Arabidopsis thaliana: one gene and its partner. The protein of the gene in region 1 interacts with the protein of each later gene in a pairwise test. Each region holds a gene or a part of one and is shown on either strand. Other genes may lie near its edges.

Region 1 (8,773 bases):
GTAATCATACATAAAATAAAGTATTGTGTGAATAGATACTTCAACTATCATGATTGGAGAAAATTCAAAAATAAAGAAGTAGAGGCAGAAAATGATATAAAAAGTTATCATAGATAGGGTGTAACGGCATCACGAGTATTCATATTTTGGTAAAGAGTTTTTTCTTCATTTCACATGCTTGAATTGTATTTTTTTTTTGGTGAGTGATAGGAGGCAATTGGCCCCTATGTTTTATTCAAATAAATGTAAAGAAATTACAATCGGACAATCATGGGTATCGTGTACCCATTGGTATCTTCCAACAAAACCGGCTTAACAATATCCGGGCAAAGATCAAACGAATGAAAACCAAGCGGTAAAGAAAACGCATAGTTCGCTAAAACATGCTTGAATTGTATTAAAACAGTCAATAATGTAGATTTTTTTTGAGAGATTAAGGAATAAGATACTACTATGTGATTGTTGCACAAAAAAAGATACTATGTGATTTGGAAATTTAAAATGTAACTTATATGAAAAATCAGGAATAGAAGGACAAAATTGATAATGTCAACAAGAAGGAAGGAAGAGAAAAGGAGGGAGGACCAAGTTGTATACTTCTATCTTAAAATATATTTGTTTTGCGAACAGAAAATAATATGAATAATCACTCTTGTAAAAATTATATTGGTTGCATAGATGCGACATATTTGTTTAATAAACGTTTCAGTGTATATATGCAAGAAGATTACAAAAAAAAAATCTATTGTCCAATGCATACAGTAAGTTTTATTGCATTCAAGTAACGAACAAATAAAATCATATTCAAATATACGTCATTGTATAACAAAAAGTATAAAACACACTTGAACATATCGATAATTGTAGTAATGCATTTATACATTTTAAAACAGCATCATCATCTAATTTTAAATATTTTTCTTCATATATTAGTTTATTTTCCAGTAACGTTTTCATAACCATAGATAATATGAGCATTTACCATCTGGCTAAAATTTTCACGGTAAATGTAGCTGTCGAGTAGCCTATTCACCAAGTTTTCTGAAAGATCTAAAACATGGTACTCACTTGCCAAATAAAAGGATAAGACTATTTCGTTTATACTATCAATTTCTTTTATAGTAATATTTCTGATTCATTAAGCAACCATCGACCAGTTCTAGCCCTCAACAGTAGTTCATCTACTACGAAGACATCAATGAGTTAACTACCATCTTAATCAAATGTTTACATCCGTGAAAATACCCCAACGCATATGACCACCCGTCATCCCATATAAATTTGTCTATATTATCTCGTTAGCTAAATTATTAGTGTTATAAAATCCAAGAAAAAAAATTATTATTATTATAAATCCAATAATTTTAGGATCTCACCCGTAATATACCGTCCCTTGAATGATTTTAAATTTATACTACTAATATAGATTTTAAATTTATCATATAAAGTATATGATTTCAAGTTTTTGTGTTTTTTTATTTAAATAAAGCAACGGCTTAAATGATGATAGATTTAGTTCTTTTTCTTGTATGTGTATATGACTTTTGTGTGAATATTTTAATTATTATAAATTAGTATTTTTATTGCTATAGAAAATGTTAATATACATATTTGCTATAAATCGGATTTATGCATATTTTGTGGAATAAAATTCACAGATTTTGTTTTTGAATATATATGGAAAGATTGTAATTTTCTTGTAAATACATGTGGCTTTTCTTGTAAATAAGTCCAAACTACAGAATTTATTTCACAAAATAACTGTAAAAATATATATATGTAAATATCATTATATATGTATACACTGTTATTTTGCGAGTTTTATTTTGCAAATTTGTATTATTCAACTATATTATTAAACGCAATGTTACCAATCAAACCCTAAATAATATCTTTGGTGCACACAACTCCAAAAAGACATAACTTGTTATGAGATTTATTATCATTAAAAGAACCCGTTTAGCAATTCATACAAGGTTCATATGTGATCCCAATTTACAAACACAAACGTCACACGAGCTAGTAACAAGATCCGACCCCGACAAATCGAGTCGGACTGTACCCGAGTGTTAGGTCCAAGTTTAGCTCCTTGTCCAGATGATCATATCTGTAATCACAATCAACACTTAACCGTAAATCCTCGTCCGTAGTCGTACCGCTCGTAGAAGCACAGTTTTCACAAGAAGTCTCCATCTTTAGTTTAACAGAACCGGGAAACGTGGACTTCAAATCTTCATTTCGGGGATGAAACGATGTCGTTTTAGGCTCGATGATCGAACCGTGAGTTTTTGGGTCAATACCACGGTTAAGAAGCTTCCTTTTTATATGAGTGTTCCAATAATTTTTAATCTCATTATCGGTTCTTCCCGGTAATTTCCCAGCAATCAAAGACCATCTGAAAAAAAGACATTCGAAATGTAAGGAACATTGGTTTAAAACTTGGTCATTTGGGTATATTAAACCGGTTATTTATTTGGTTTTGTCAAATTGGATCTGCTTGTATTTTTATTATTTTTTTCTCATAAGTGTTGCACTTTATTTAAAACCTTATGTTGTAAAGATACAACTGTGGAACCTTCCACTTACAAATCTTGACACATATTAAACCTTACAACATTGGATCAACTAAAATATAGTCATCCATATTACATAAAAAACCAACAAGTCTAACTTATAAGCAGAGGCCCATAAAGAAAGCCCAAACCAGGAAACAAAACCTTTAGAGGAAGTAAATTAAAGATTCCCTTCCACCACAAAGCCACGTGTGATGTTAACAAACAAAGTTGAAACACGTTGACTGAAGAAGCCTTAGTTGTCGCCATTCACCACCGTTCTGGTTAGCAACTCAGGGAACTCTAAAACCACCGGAAACCGCCGGAGCTTCAAGAGAAGTCCATTGATTTTTAATTAGAGAATCCACCAAACTTCATTAGCAAATTTGGAAAGGAAAGATCTCCCAAAGGCAATTGATTCCTGAAATCTAAAGAACATCGACGTAGAGTAAGCCGATGGAGCTTTCAGCAACACCTTAAAAAAGAACAAAAAAGCACTCGTCTCCATAGATCAGTTAGAGAAACAGCCACAATTGCAATAGTTTCAACCCATAAGCATAAAAAACCTTAATCCGCATCTTAATTTGTTCTCAAAAAATGAAATCGATAAGCGTGGAAAACAAATTAATCCCTTTAAACAAAGGAGGTTCAAGGAATTATATGCCAGATCTAACAATGAAACGCAAAAGAGCTCAATCAAACTGAATATAAAGAAATCGAGAGAAGAAAACATAAATCTAAACCGGAATCAATCCGGCCAAAAGGTAGACGAAACACCGAAGATAGGCGGTGAAACTCTAGACCTTAGCTAGCCTACCGCCGCTAAAGAAGCCAATGGAAGCCAAACGCAAACCGACCATCGTCGTAAAGAACCGAACAGTGTCAGAAGAACCACGACAATCAAACGTTGCCCTAAACATCGCCGGACAAAAGCCAGACATCCATGCTGGAAAAGCCATAAGATTCTGGACAGAGAACTGGCCAACAAACACTAAAGAAGCTATTGTTGCCGGAAAAAGAAGATCAGATGCTTTCTCTCTCTAAAAGATGCAAATGAGAGAAGAGAGAGAGAAGCCTACAAAACCTTCTTTTCCATTCAAAACGCATAGAATGCTATCTTCTCAATACTGGATCTGCTTGTATATAAACCAAATTGTACATTTATTCATTTTTATAAACTGAAGAGAAAACCATTTGATTAGTTTTCTCCAGTGTTTTCAAACCGGTTGAACCAGTTTGACTGTGAATCGAATAGCTATCCGATTTGAGTTATCACCAAAAACCGGTATTAAAAAGACTCACAACACCCGGTTTAAAATCTGATTAAACCAGTGAACCGGTTCGGACTAATGACCAAAACCCGATTCTTCATTTTTTTTAGTCTTTCACGGTTTAACCATTGGTTTTACTTTTTTACAGTAAAACTGGTTTGTTCATAAATCATAATTAAGAGAAAGGAAATTACTTGTTGCCAAATAAACTATGAAGTTTGACAATGATTTGCTCTTCACCATCAGTGAAATTTCCACGTTTAAGATCAGGACGAAGGTAATTAATCCATCTTAATCTACAACTTTTTCCACAACGCAACAACCCTAAAGAAAAGATAAAATCATCAGATCAAGAAACATAAAAATTTGAAAGAAAAAAAATCAAAACTTTGGAGAAATTTACCAACGGATTTAGGAAGAGAACGCCAAGAGCCTTCACCATGATTACGTATATAATCAATAAGACGTTGATCTTCTTCTTTAGTCCATGCTCCTTTGTTCATGTGAGCCTTTTCACAACATGGTGATCTTCCCATGATGATGGTTACATGTGTGGGTGATGAGACAAGAAGAGTGAGACTAGGATCTAAAGAGAGGTGTTATAAAAAGGAAGTGACTTTGACCAAGTTGGTGTATGTATCTTGTATTTTGTGGGTGAAAAAGATTTGGTAGGTTACCTTCTTTTTCTTTCTTTCCTTAGAGCATGTCCATTAAGGAGTCCTAATAATGGAATCCTTACATTTTTATACTAATAAATTTTGAATTTTTTTGAAATTAAAGTTCTTGTTGAATCCTAAACTTTTTTCTAGTCCATTAGTGAATCCTTAAGTGGGTTTCTTAAAAAAATAAATATGATAAATATTTACTTGACAAAATATGCTAATTTATTTATTTGACAAAGGGTTAAAGCTAATTCGAAGAAAAAAAAGAGCTTGGAAATGTAAAAACTATTCCAATAGTATTATATAACCTCATCATCTTCCTTCGTGAGTTTCCCTGCCAATTGAGAATATAGATGTTGCACTCTTGCAAGCTTCCTCACAGTTTTTGGGGCTTAACAACCACCCTGTCACATATACCCTGCAAAGCAGAAACTGCAGAACATCAAGATTGAACTTACGTTTAACTTTTCTCTTGTATTCTCTCGTACAATAGAGAACTGACTGCAACAGTTTAGCAAATCACATCAGTATGCATATCAGGAAATTTCAATGAAATGGATTCTATAATTGTTCAAAGCACTTTCAAGTAAAAATTGACCTGGTTAGTAAGTCACGCTCTATCTCCATATCACGACCCCTTGAAGCAGCTCTAGGCCTAGTTGCAGCCAAAGCTTCACTACAGACACCTAATCGATTCCTTTGAAAAAGTCTCTCAGGCTGTTTGCAAACATATTTATTAGAAACAAAAAACGAAGGTGCACATATCTTTATCAACATCACTTGTTATCACACAAAAATTTAGTGATATCTAAATTGAAACATTGGTTTAATCTAAAAATTAACTACTAAATAATATCCAGACACAAAACACACCTATAACTGTGCTAGCCAAGCAATGGGATCAATGTCGGTATCAGTAAATTATCCTGCTGTTACGAGCAAGCACAACCTAATTCCACGAGCCCGAAACATCAGTTAAACGAAACTTATAAAACTGTTTTAAGAATCGATACGAACACAATCTCTAAACTATCTTATTAAGAGACGACGCGTGATGATGATAATCACCAATCGTACGATCGGCCTCCGGAGTTTACAAGAGAAGAGAAAGAAAATTAATCGTGAAATGAAAAAATAAACAAGGCCAAAAGCGAGAAAAAAAATTGTTTTGTCAAACACAGAGCCAATAATATATGGCCACGTATGCGCCCCTTGAGATCAGAATAAACTCTAAAATTAGGTGCGAACCTAAGAGCATCTCCACTGGTGAGATACTACATCAATACCTCATAATATATTATTAATATTTTTATATTTAATTTAAGTAGAGAAACTTATACTAAAATTGTGCTTCCATTGGTGAGATACTCTTATAGGTATCTTATTAATATTAAAATATTATTATATTTTTCATATATTAAATTTAATATCTCTACAATATTTTTAAATATATCAATTATTATTTTTACAAATTATATTATTAAGTAGTTTTATTATTTTTAAAACCATAATTAAACATTACTTTACATATAAAACCATAATAAAAATTAAGTCTTTCACTTGGTAATGGATTACCACTTATGTAAGATAAGTAGAAATTAAAAGATTTATTGATGATTAAATTTTAAATACATATATCTGAAATCACAATTTTACATTAATCTGAAAATATTGCAAAATAAAAATAGAAAATTTTAAATGTTTGTTTTGTAATTAAAAAACTATTGTATTTATAACTAACACCAATTAAATAATATTAGTACATAATTTAAACATATACATAATAGAGCTTGTTATATAGATAATTTAATTTTATGAATTTTAAAAGTAAAAAAAATAAAAAAAAATAACAGACATATAAAGTATTTAATTGATGTTATAAAGTATAGATGATTGTATTTATAACAAAGAAAAGAAATTAATAACAAGGTGACATGTGGAAGAGAGAGAAAGTTTCTCTAAGTTTCTCATTTCATAAACGATCCTGAACAAAATTGATTAAAAAATTATTATTTTAATGTTTTTGATTTATTTTTATTTAGAATTTCTCAGTGAGAAACCACCAATGAAGATGGTCTAAGCTTTAATCACAATTTTTATTTATTTTTTGTTAAAATTATTTGAGGATTTCCCTTAAGAAACTGTTAAGGCCCTTCCAATGAACATGGTCTTAGATTTTATACTACTAAGAGAAAGGGTTTGGTGGGGATATTATTTTGATGGATTTGTTTTTTTGTTACAACTTACAAGTGATATGAATGAGTTATTTTATTACTAGTTATTTTTGGGTTGTTTTAATCTTCTAGAAGGAAAATGAGTGGTGGAGAAACACTGAAACAAGATCCAAATTGTATCCTACCTGCCTTTTTGGCACTATCTTTCTTTTTGTTTTCCTTTTCGAGAAGATTTTTTTCTTCGAGAAAAGAAAAATATTTTTTTTGTTCTTTCTTTGTTTAATTTAATTACACTCTCCATATACTTTCGCAATACTTTTACTTTACTATGAAACACAGCTACTATAAAACAGATTAAGGGTTTAAAAGTGGTAAGAACACTTGTCCATTTTTACAAAACAAAAACAAAGATGTAATTTGCTAAAAAGAATACTCAAAACAAATTCTTGCTAAAACAGTTGTATTTTGGGGTATGTGCAAATACAACTATACAGTCAAAACACCAAAATAAGACTAAAATCCTAAAGTTTCCCATACCCTATGAAAATTTCTTTAATAATTCTGACTGTAAGAATTTTCTAATAAGAATATGTAAACATATATATTATTTGCATCTTATATGAAGTAACTGAGTTCTGAAAAAAAAAAAAAAACTACAGATTAGAATGAAACAATTGTCCAATAGCCATTGCATAGATTATCAAAAGAGACCAAAATGTGCATAGTAGTATAGTACAATGGGACAGAAGGGAGAATGGTCACTAATGTTGAAAGAATGTTATGTACACACAAAAATTCGTATCAATAAAAAAATACTAATCTTAGATTCCCCCAACTTTTGAAGGGGAAAAATGCTTATACAGGACTCATGATACAACATATATATAGATAAGTTACATGTATGGTTGAAGTCATAAACAATAATTAACACTGAACAGCAGGAATCCGGTTTAAGCTGGATCGGTTTCAGGTTCCGGATCGGGTTCTTTACACATGCAGTCGGGCATGGGGAACGTGTAGAGTGATGCAGCGGGTTTCCTTAATTCGACTCCCTTTGCATCATTGTGTCTAAGCATATCTTGCATTTGTTTCTTGAAGTAGTCCCATCTACAAAAAAAAAAAACGTCCAAACCGAAGAAAATGCTTTAGAGGCAGAGGAATCTAAGAGCTTGATGTCAAGAGTTATAAAGAAATCAAGTACCTAATGCTCGGTTTATCTAAGAGCTGGACTAGTTTCCGCTTATCGGGTTTGATTGTCTCAGCGTGGCCTTTGTAAAGGTAGCGACGGTGACCTATCAAGAAATGTGGGAAGTTTCCACCTTGAGTGGATACAAACACTTCACTGTGGAGGCATACTGTGTAATCAAGTGCTGCCAATCTTGATGAGTGTCCCTACAGTTTCACAAATACAGCAATTTGTTTAGTGAACTAGAATATTATATAATGGTCAAAATCTTTCTATTCCAAGGGCATGTTATGGGAGAGCCCACGGGTTTTATGGGCAAATTGCTTTAAGAACCTAACACGCTCCCAACCTAATAATAGAATCATTCTGATTCCTACCAACCAGTGGACATAAATTTCTCTTTCCTATAAACAGGGCTTCTAAAAAGACAGAACTTTAAAAGCTATCATAAAAACATTTCAACATTCTCACCCAACTCTTGCTATCAATGTTCCCTCATCATTATTTGTTTCCCTCGTTTGAAATGTGTGAGACACTTTTCTATGACTAAAAATGAACCAACCAAACTCTATTCTATTTCTCACAAAAACTATTCATAGAGCGAGGAAAATGAAACAATTCCATGAAACAACCAAACGCTATCCTATCAATAAAAATGAAACAGCCAAACTCTTTTCTATTTCTCACAAAACAATTTATGAACAGTGTTGGGACATTAACACTTAAGTCCAAATGAGTAAAGAAATTAAAGTTTTGTTACCTTAAACGGAGCAAGCTCCTCTGGAGTAGCTAGAGTATCCTTGGTTTGGAGAAGAGGAAACATCTGCCTTAGAGGAGCCATATATTTGTCAGCTTTGTAAATGTTTCCCGCAGCTACGTAAACCAAGGTGCTATTGTTAAATCCCATGCCCCTAAGCATCATTCCGAC
Region 2 (6,318 bases), 5.7 Mb from region 1:
CCGATAGTTGCAAATCCTCGGTTCACAACAGACGACGTTTGTTGAAGAACCACACCAAAGTACAAATCATTCACTGTACTCCAAACTAATTTATATATATACACACATTAGGTACGTATATAACGTTACTTTCAAAATAAAGCTATAAATATCCTACGAGTCTATGACGTATATTAAGTTTCGTCGTGATTCAAAGAATTAGTTTCTTGGAAGATAGAAAACCACGGACCATAAATAGCCTTAGCAAATATGGACCCAGCGGAAACAAACAATATAGGAGGATTGATACAACCAAAAATAGACCTCAGGGTTTCGTTTATATTGCCTGTCCCCATGCTGAAAACTATCTTTGCCTACCTTTTGTAGTCTACCAATGTATGAATGAAGAAGCCTGATTTTTATAACGAAATATAATATCTGTTACAGTACATTTTTGTATTTCAAATGTAAGAAAGTAACAGAAAATACAAGAATGTTAGCAACAACGTCTAATGTAGAGCAATACGTAATTATTGATTCCACGAACCAGAGCTGAGAGCCTTAATATTAGTGCCTTAATTAATATTACTTATCCGTTCTAATTATTTACTTTTACGTTGTGCATTGTTGATTAGTCTCCTTTCTTGCATCTAATTAGTATCTTATTGAATCAAATTTGAACCATACATTTACTTTGGCACAATTGAATATAATATTTAAATGTACTGTGGAAATTTCGGCTTTCATCGCAATTCGTAGATAATAGAGGGTTTAGGAGCAGAAAAAGACAGAAGGGTACTGGTTCGGTTCCGACATAATCTGATAGTCAAGAGGAGATTTATATCATAAAAATACTATTTTATAGTAAACGCATGAAACTGTAGGAAACAAAACAATCTCCTAATGTGTAATAATGTGTCCGTACGTGAAACTGCAAGCTAGTCCAAATTTTATTATCTTTTCTTAATTGTCAGAAATCCTAGATTTTAATGTTTTGCTAACACCATTTTCGTAACTCTATGTGATCATTAAGAACAAGTACTATATTCCACATTAAGTAAAGTTACAGAAATAAACAAAATATCACGATTTCGATAGCGACAACAAAACTATAGAAATAGTTAAATACATCACCAAAATCCTTATCCCGTCGTGTCGCTAGCGTTCCCATTAATATTATATTGATTACTTAACGTCTTGGGAGACTGAACAAGATAACTCCACACAAGGTCTCACGTGGTCCCCTCACACTCTCTCAACACACGTGTCGTACACTTAATGGGTTTCTTCGACACGTGTCGTAGTCGGAGTGACGAGGATGCACAACTAGCTGAAAAGTCCGACCTATTGAAAAGTCTATAATGCCCCCATTCGGTCGCTGCCTAAGCCGGTAGGGGCCGGTCTAAGATTACGTGGCAGAGCCACGGTCCTTGGTCGCAATACTCTCTCTTGTATACATGTATTGTTGTTGGCAAGGACTAAAATAGCAAAGGTTTTATCCAAAAGTATAAGATTAGAAATAATGCGATTTCTTGTTTCCTTTACTTCATTTCTGTTCAAAGATTTAGACAGAAATGCAACAAATATATGTTGTGGTGGCCTTCACAACTTACAAGTGAGACTCCGATATTATTTTGAGATATTGTTTCTATTTTTTTCGGTAACTACTAACTTAGGACAAGCACACATTCACAGTCGTTTATCATAAATTCTTTGTGTAACTACTTATTCTAGAAAACCAAACTACAGTGAAAAAACTATATATACTGAAAATATGTGATTACCGCCTTATATAAATTATTTTTGATGTTAACATTTTCGTAAAATAAAATTTGTAGTGATCCTAAACAAGATAATTTGAAATTCTAGTTTTCGACTCCGAGAAATTATGAACCAAGCTCGGAACTTTTTTGGTAAAAGTAAAAAGTTGTGATGCTTTAAGTGTGAAAACCTAGTGAAAAGAAGAAAACGTAAATTTGTGGGATACCTAAAAAGCTACAGAAAACGATTTTTGTGTTTACGAAATGGCATAATTAAAACATTATTATAACTAATGAAATTTTATAAGCAATAACAGTTTGCCAATTATTCGATTCCGTGGATTAGTAGAGAGTTTAAAATATGATGTTGAATAATTTTGAGCGATCAGAAAAAGGAATGAACACCCGTCTCTTAACGGTGAGAGAGAATCGCAGCCTTTCGGATTCCACACGGCTCTTATTTTCCTCTATCCACTTGCTCACTTTTTAAACCGCATAATAATATTCTTTAGCGTATACTATTATAATATTCTTCTTGATTACGTCAAACTACAACAAATCAATCAATAGTATTGAAAAATATGTCTCAGTGTCACTCTTACGACTTTTATACAAACCATGTAACCATGACGACATGACTTCAGTTACACATTACCATATAAAACAGTTCATGAAAGGATTAGACTACACTAACATTTGTTTTAGATGAATGTCACAAAATGGTGATATAGACTAAATATAGTAGTCACTAGTCATTAGACAACGCATAAACTTTATAATATATCATTCACCTTGATATTATTATTGTATGAACAAAAATTTAATGTACACATTACATTACAACACAAGACAAAGCCATGCCTTTTAAACAAACTAAACATCAAACACTTCCACTATAAAACCTAATTCTTCTATACTTATAAAAAATGTATTTATGTATGTGTTCTAATTATTTCACCTTTATCTTTTAGAAAAACTATAAAAAGAAATAATACACATTTACAACATTATGACTACATCCTAAATTTCACCCCAAGTTATACATTGTATTATACCATTATCTATATATATATATATATAATTAATTACTATGGGGTTGGAAATTTAGTAATTATCTTTTCTTAGAACGGAGCACGGTGAGGGACACCCTTTCGTCTGCTTGAATTCCGGTGATTATAGATCGGAGGTGTTCCCGGAGAGAAACTAAAACCACCTTCATCACCAGAGCTTGAAGACCTTTGATCACCATTGGGACCGTAGTCATCGAATCTAACGGTTGAGATCGAGAGACCACTCATCAGACGGTTGAAAGCATTGGTCTTACGCATCTTAGTCGGTGTAGTAGCTTCATCTGATTCCGACCCACCAAGGTACTCTCTCCCATGCTTTCCTTTCAAAGAGAAGGTTAGAGATAAATCTCCTCTCCTCATTCCTCCAAGCTAAACAGAACAAAAAACAACCAAAGGACAATATCGTTATTTCCACAAATAACATTACAAAAACAGAGCATATCCACATGAATCACGAACAAAACTAAACAAAACCGGATAAAATTTGATATAGATATCATTAAGAAGTGAAATGCGTTAATGGGTTTTAAGAAAGTTTACATTTTTGTTAAAACCATATGAATTGTTTCAAACAAAAATGGTGAAAACAGGGGAAAAAACAGAGGGAGAGTCTTTTTGTGTTATACCTTGCAGCCGAGAGAGCAGAACCTGAAAGAATCAAGGAGACTTCTGCAACAGATTTCACAAGTGTTTGTAACACCTTTACCGATTCTAGGCTGAGGTCTTTCATTGAGGAACACGATCTTTGCGCTGTTGATAATATATGTCTGAACACAAGCGATGTCTATGAACTTCTGTATCTCATTCACTCTCACAACGTTATGGTACGAAGATCTTCGTATCTGCAAATTTTGATTCTTTTCATTAACATTACAATTAAAAAACCGAGAGATTGAGGAGGAGAAAAAGAAGAAGAAGAGATATTGAACCTGAACAACACGATGGTCTTTATGTTTGACTAAACAGTAAGAGCAAAAGGCATTTCCAGCACAATCAAGACAGAACAAATTGCATTCGTTTTTGTTTGAATCGACATGGATGGAACAAGGGACGAAGTAACTCCCTCGTAGCATTGGCATTAGCCACGGTGGACTTGTATAGTCTTCTTCTTCCTCTGTTCTTATCATTGGTCCCTGAACAAAACGAAACCAAATCAGAATCTGGAGAAGATTGATAGCAAGGTAAAAACAAACAAAAAGAATTAAAAATAAGACTCACCATGACTTTCTTGTGATTGGCCTTGAAGGCCCCGAAGTTGAGTTTGTGATTGTGGTTTTCGATAGCCAGATTTGCGAGCTCCAGTGTGTAGCAAAACCTTTACGAGAAGAAGGTAGAAGAAGAAGAAGGAAGAGGAAGAGGTAAGTGAAAGCGGCGGCTGAAAGAGAGAAAATAAAGGGTTTTATTTTTATTTGAAGGCGGTCACGATAAGTTTATGCGGTTTATATTTCATACGAATTTCATTTTAAAATATTTTTAGAGTTATTTTTGTTTATTATTAAAGGTATCTTTTTTGTTTGTTCCTAAATTATATTTTTCTGACTCCTTTATTTGGGAAAATCAATTTGTTTTCTTCTTTATGTAATTTGGGAAAATCATTATCTCGTTTTTTTTTTTTGAAGTCCTCCAAAAACACACGTATCTTGAATATGCGTGTCTGTCCAGTGTGCATCTAGAAGACCTAAAAGGAAAGTCTTAAAAGGTTAAAAATAAAAGGTGAAAATGCGATATTATTGTTCAAATATGGTCATAAATAATTACGTTTCGACATAGAAAAAAATAGCATACTAATTTTTCAGCTTACGAATGATATAATGATTGATATATTTTCATATCATCATATGTATAATAAGCGGACAAACACATATGTGGATGTCAAATCTAGTTAAGCATTGAGAGTGATACAACAAGAATAAAGGAACTCCCACACTTGAATTTGTAAAAGTCAAATATGAAAATAAAAATTAATTATGGTCAGAATTAGAGAGACAAATAGTATTATCCTAATTCTTTGTTTTTCGTAAAATTTAAATCCGAAAATTGAAGAGATAAGCAAAAAAGAGAGAAGAGGTGGCGATAGCTGAAAAGCCAAGACAGATCGACGGGTATGAGAAGAGACAGAAGCGAGACTAGTCTTGTTAAATCGTGAGCCGTTGGATGATGAGAAGAGCCTTCTCGTATTATCCTTTTTCGTGGGACGTGTCGGAAGCTTTTACGGTTTTACCCCCTCCTCCGATTGACACTTCACACTCGTGGAGAACTCTGAGCCGTCAAGATGATAGTTAGAGTGGGACTCACTTTGAGTCATAGGTCAACGTTCAGCTGCCACGTTACTTAACGTGATCCAAGAAACAATAAATGGAGTTCGTTTGTAGTTCAAAGTTAAAAACAAATTATTAAACTTTTAGAAGTAGAGAGACTAGAGTTGTTTTTGTAAATTTGTGTGTGTGTGTGTGTATCGTTTTTAACCTGATAGATTCTCTGGTAAAAAGTCAAATCCTGTAGTCTTAGAGAATCTCCTTTGTACTTGGACGTTGTTAAAGCAAAAAAAGTAAGCAATTCGAAATGTACGAGTGTGTCATGTACTGAACAAATAAAACATTTTAAAAAATTCAAAATGTTGATTACGAGTGTGTCATGTACTGAACTAATAAACATTTTCCAAATACGGTGAGATTTGATATTGAATATTGTGAATATTAAACAACTAATAGAGTGTAAAACATAGATATTAGCTTTTGATGTCGAAAGCAATTAAAGATACTAATTAAGGAGATAGACATGTAAAAAGAGAAGTGTGATCCACGTCATGAAAAAATTATGTGACCACTAATAGTTAACAATGTAATTGGAAATCCGACCAAAGAAAGTGAGCATAGAACGGCGATGAGGAAAGTGGAAGAAACATCTTTTTAATTTGTATTCTTATCTCTTTCAAATTGGCAAAAAAGAAGCAAAAGAGAAGAGGCGTTTAAACAGTAGAACGCACGTGCCTCACGTGACCTTTGTGCACCGTTTGACCACGTGAGTCGTCAGAAAAACGAGGGTTGTCTTAGTAGAAGCCAAACATGCAAGTTTTAAGAACTAAATCATGCATGAAGTCGGAAAATGAAAATCTACCCGATATCTAAACCACTTCTTATAGAATTGGTCCTATAAAAATGGACGGTAACCTAAAAATCAAATTTGAATGGTAGCTAAACTAGTTAAATCTATAAACATGCTTTGGACGAGTCGGATCATCAGTTGAGACTTGCGAGGTTAAAACTACATTCTCTCTATTTATTGGTATACAATCCGAAAAATGTTTTGAGTTTTTGTCTATAGTTTTTTAAGATAAAAACTAAAACACATTATGTTTTTCTTTCCGTTTCATTTTCTAAGTTTGGGAATGCGGACAAATGGAACCGAACCTTACCGGATTATCATTGGGTACGATTAGGTGTGGCGGGTCCACTACAGTCTACTTTTTTAATCATCACCCAAATGTTATATATTTTTTAACGAAGATT

The links. The genes of interacting proteins can lie anywhere in the genome.
Region 2: the proteins of HOS10 (region 1) and AT1G21000 interact in a two-hybrid assay, tested with the Arabidopsis thaliana proteins (one large-scale study listed by BioGRID).

The regions. Positions count from the first base shown.
Region 1 is NC_003070.9:13,073,512-13,082,284, reverse strand, and holds HOS10 (high response to osmotic stress 10), read right to left. Parts: upstream 4,396-8,773; 5' UTR 4,360-4,395; coding exon 4,227-4,359; intron 4,148-4,226; coding exon 4,018-4,147; intron 3,870-4,017; exon of another isoform or gene 3,512-3,869; coding exon of another isoform or gene 3,356-3,511; intron 2,981-3,355; coding exon of another isoform or gene 2,904-2,980; exon of another isoform or gene 2,512-2,903; intron 2,396-2,511; coding exon 2,020-2,395; downstream 1-2,019. Other genes in the region: AT1G35516 (myb-like transcription factor family protein), read right to left, coding at 2,904-2,980, 3,370-3,511; AT1G35510 (O-fucosyltransferase family protein), read right to left, coding at 7,610-7,766, 7,861-8,051, 8,606-8,773. UniProt on the Arabidopsis thaliana protein: Transcription activator.
Region 2 is NC_003070.9:7,335,631-7,341,948, reverse strand, and holds AT1G21000 (PLATZ transcription factor family protein), read right to left. Parts: upstream 4,345-6,318; 5' UTR 4,031-4,344; coding exon 4,028-4,030; exon of another isoform or gene 4,024-4,027; intron 3,943-4,023; coding exon 3,739-3,942; intron 3,652-3,738; coding exon 3,436-3,651; intron 3,179-3,435; coding exon 2,861-3,178; 3' UTR 2,497-2,860; downstream 1-2,496.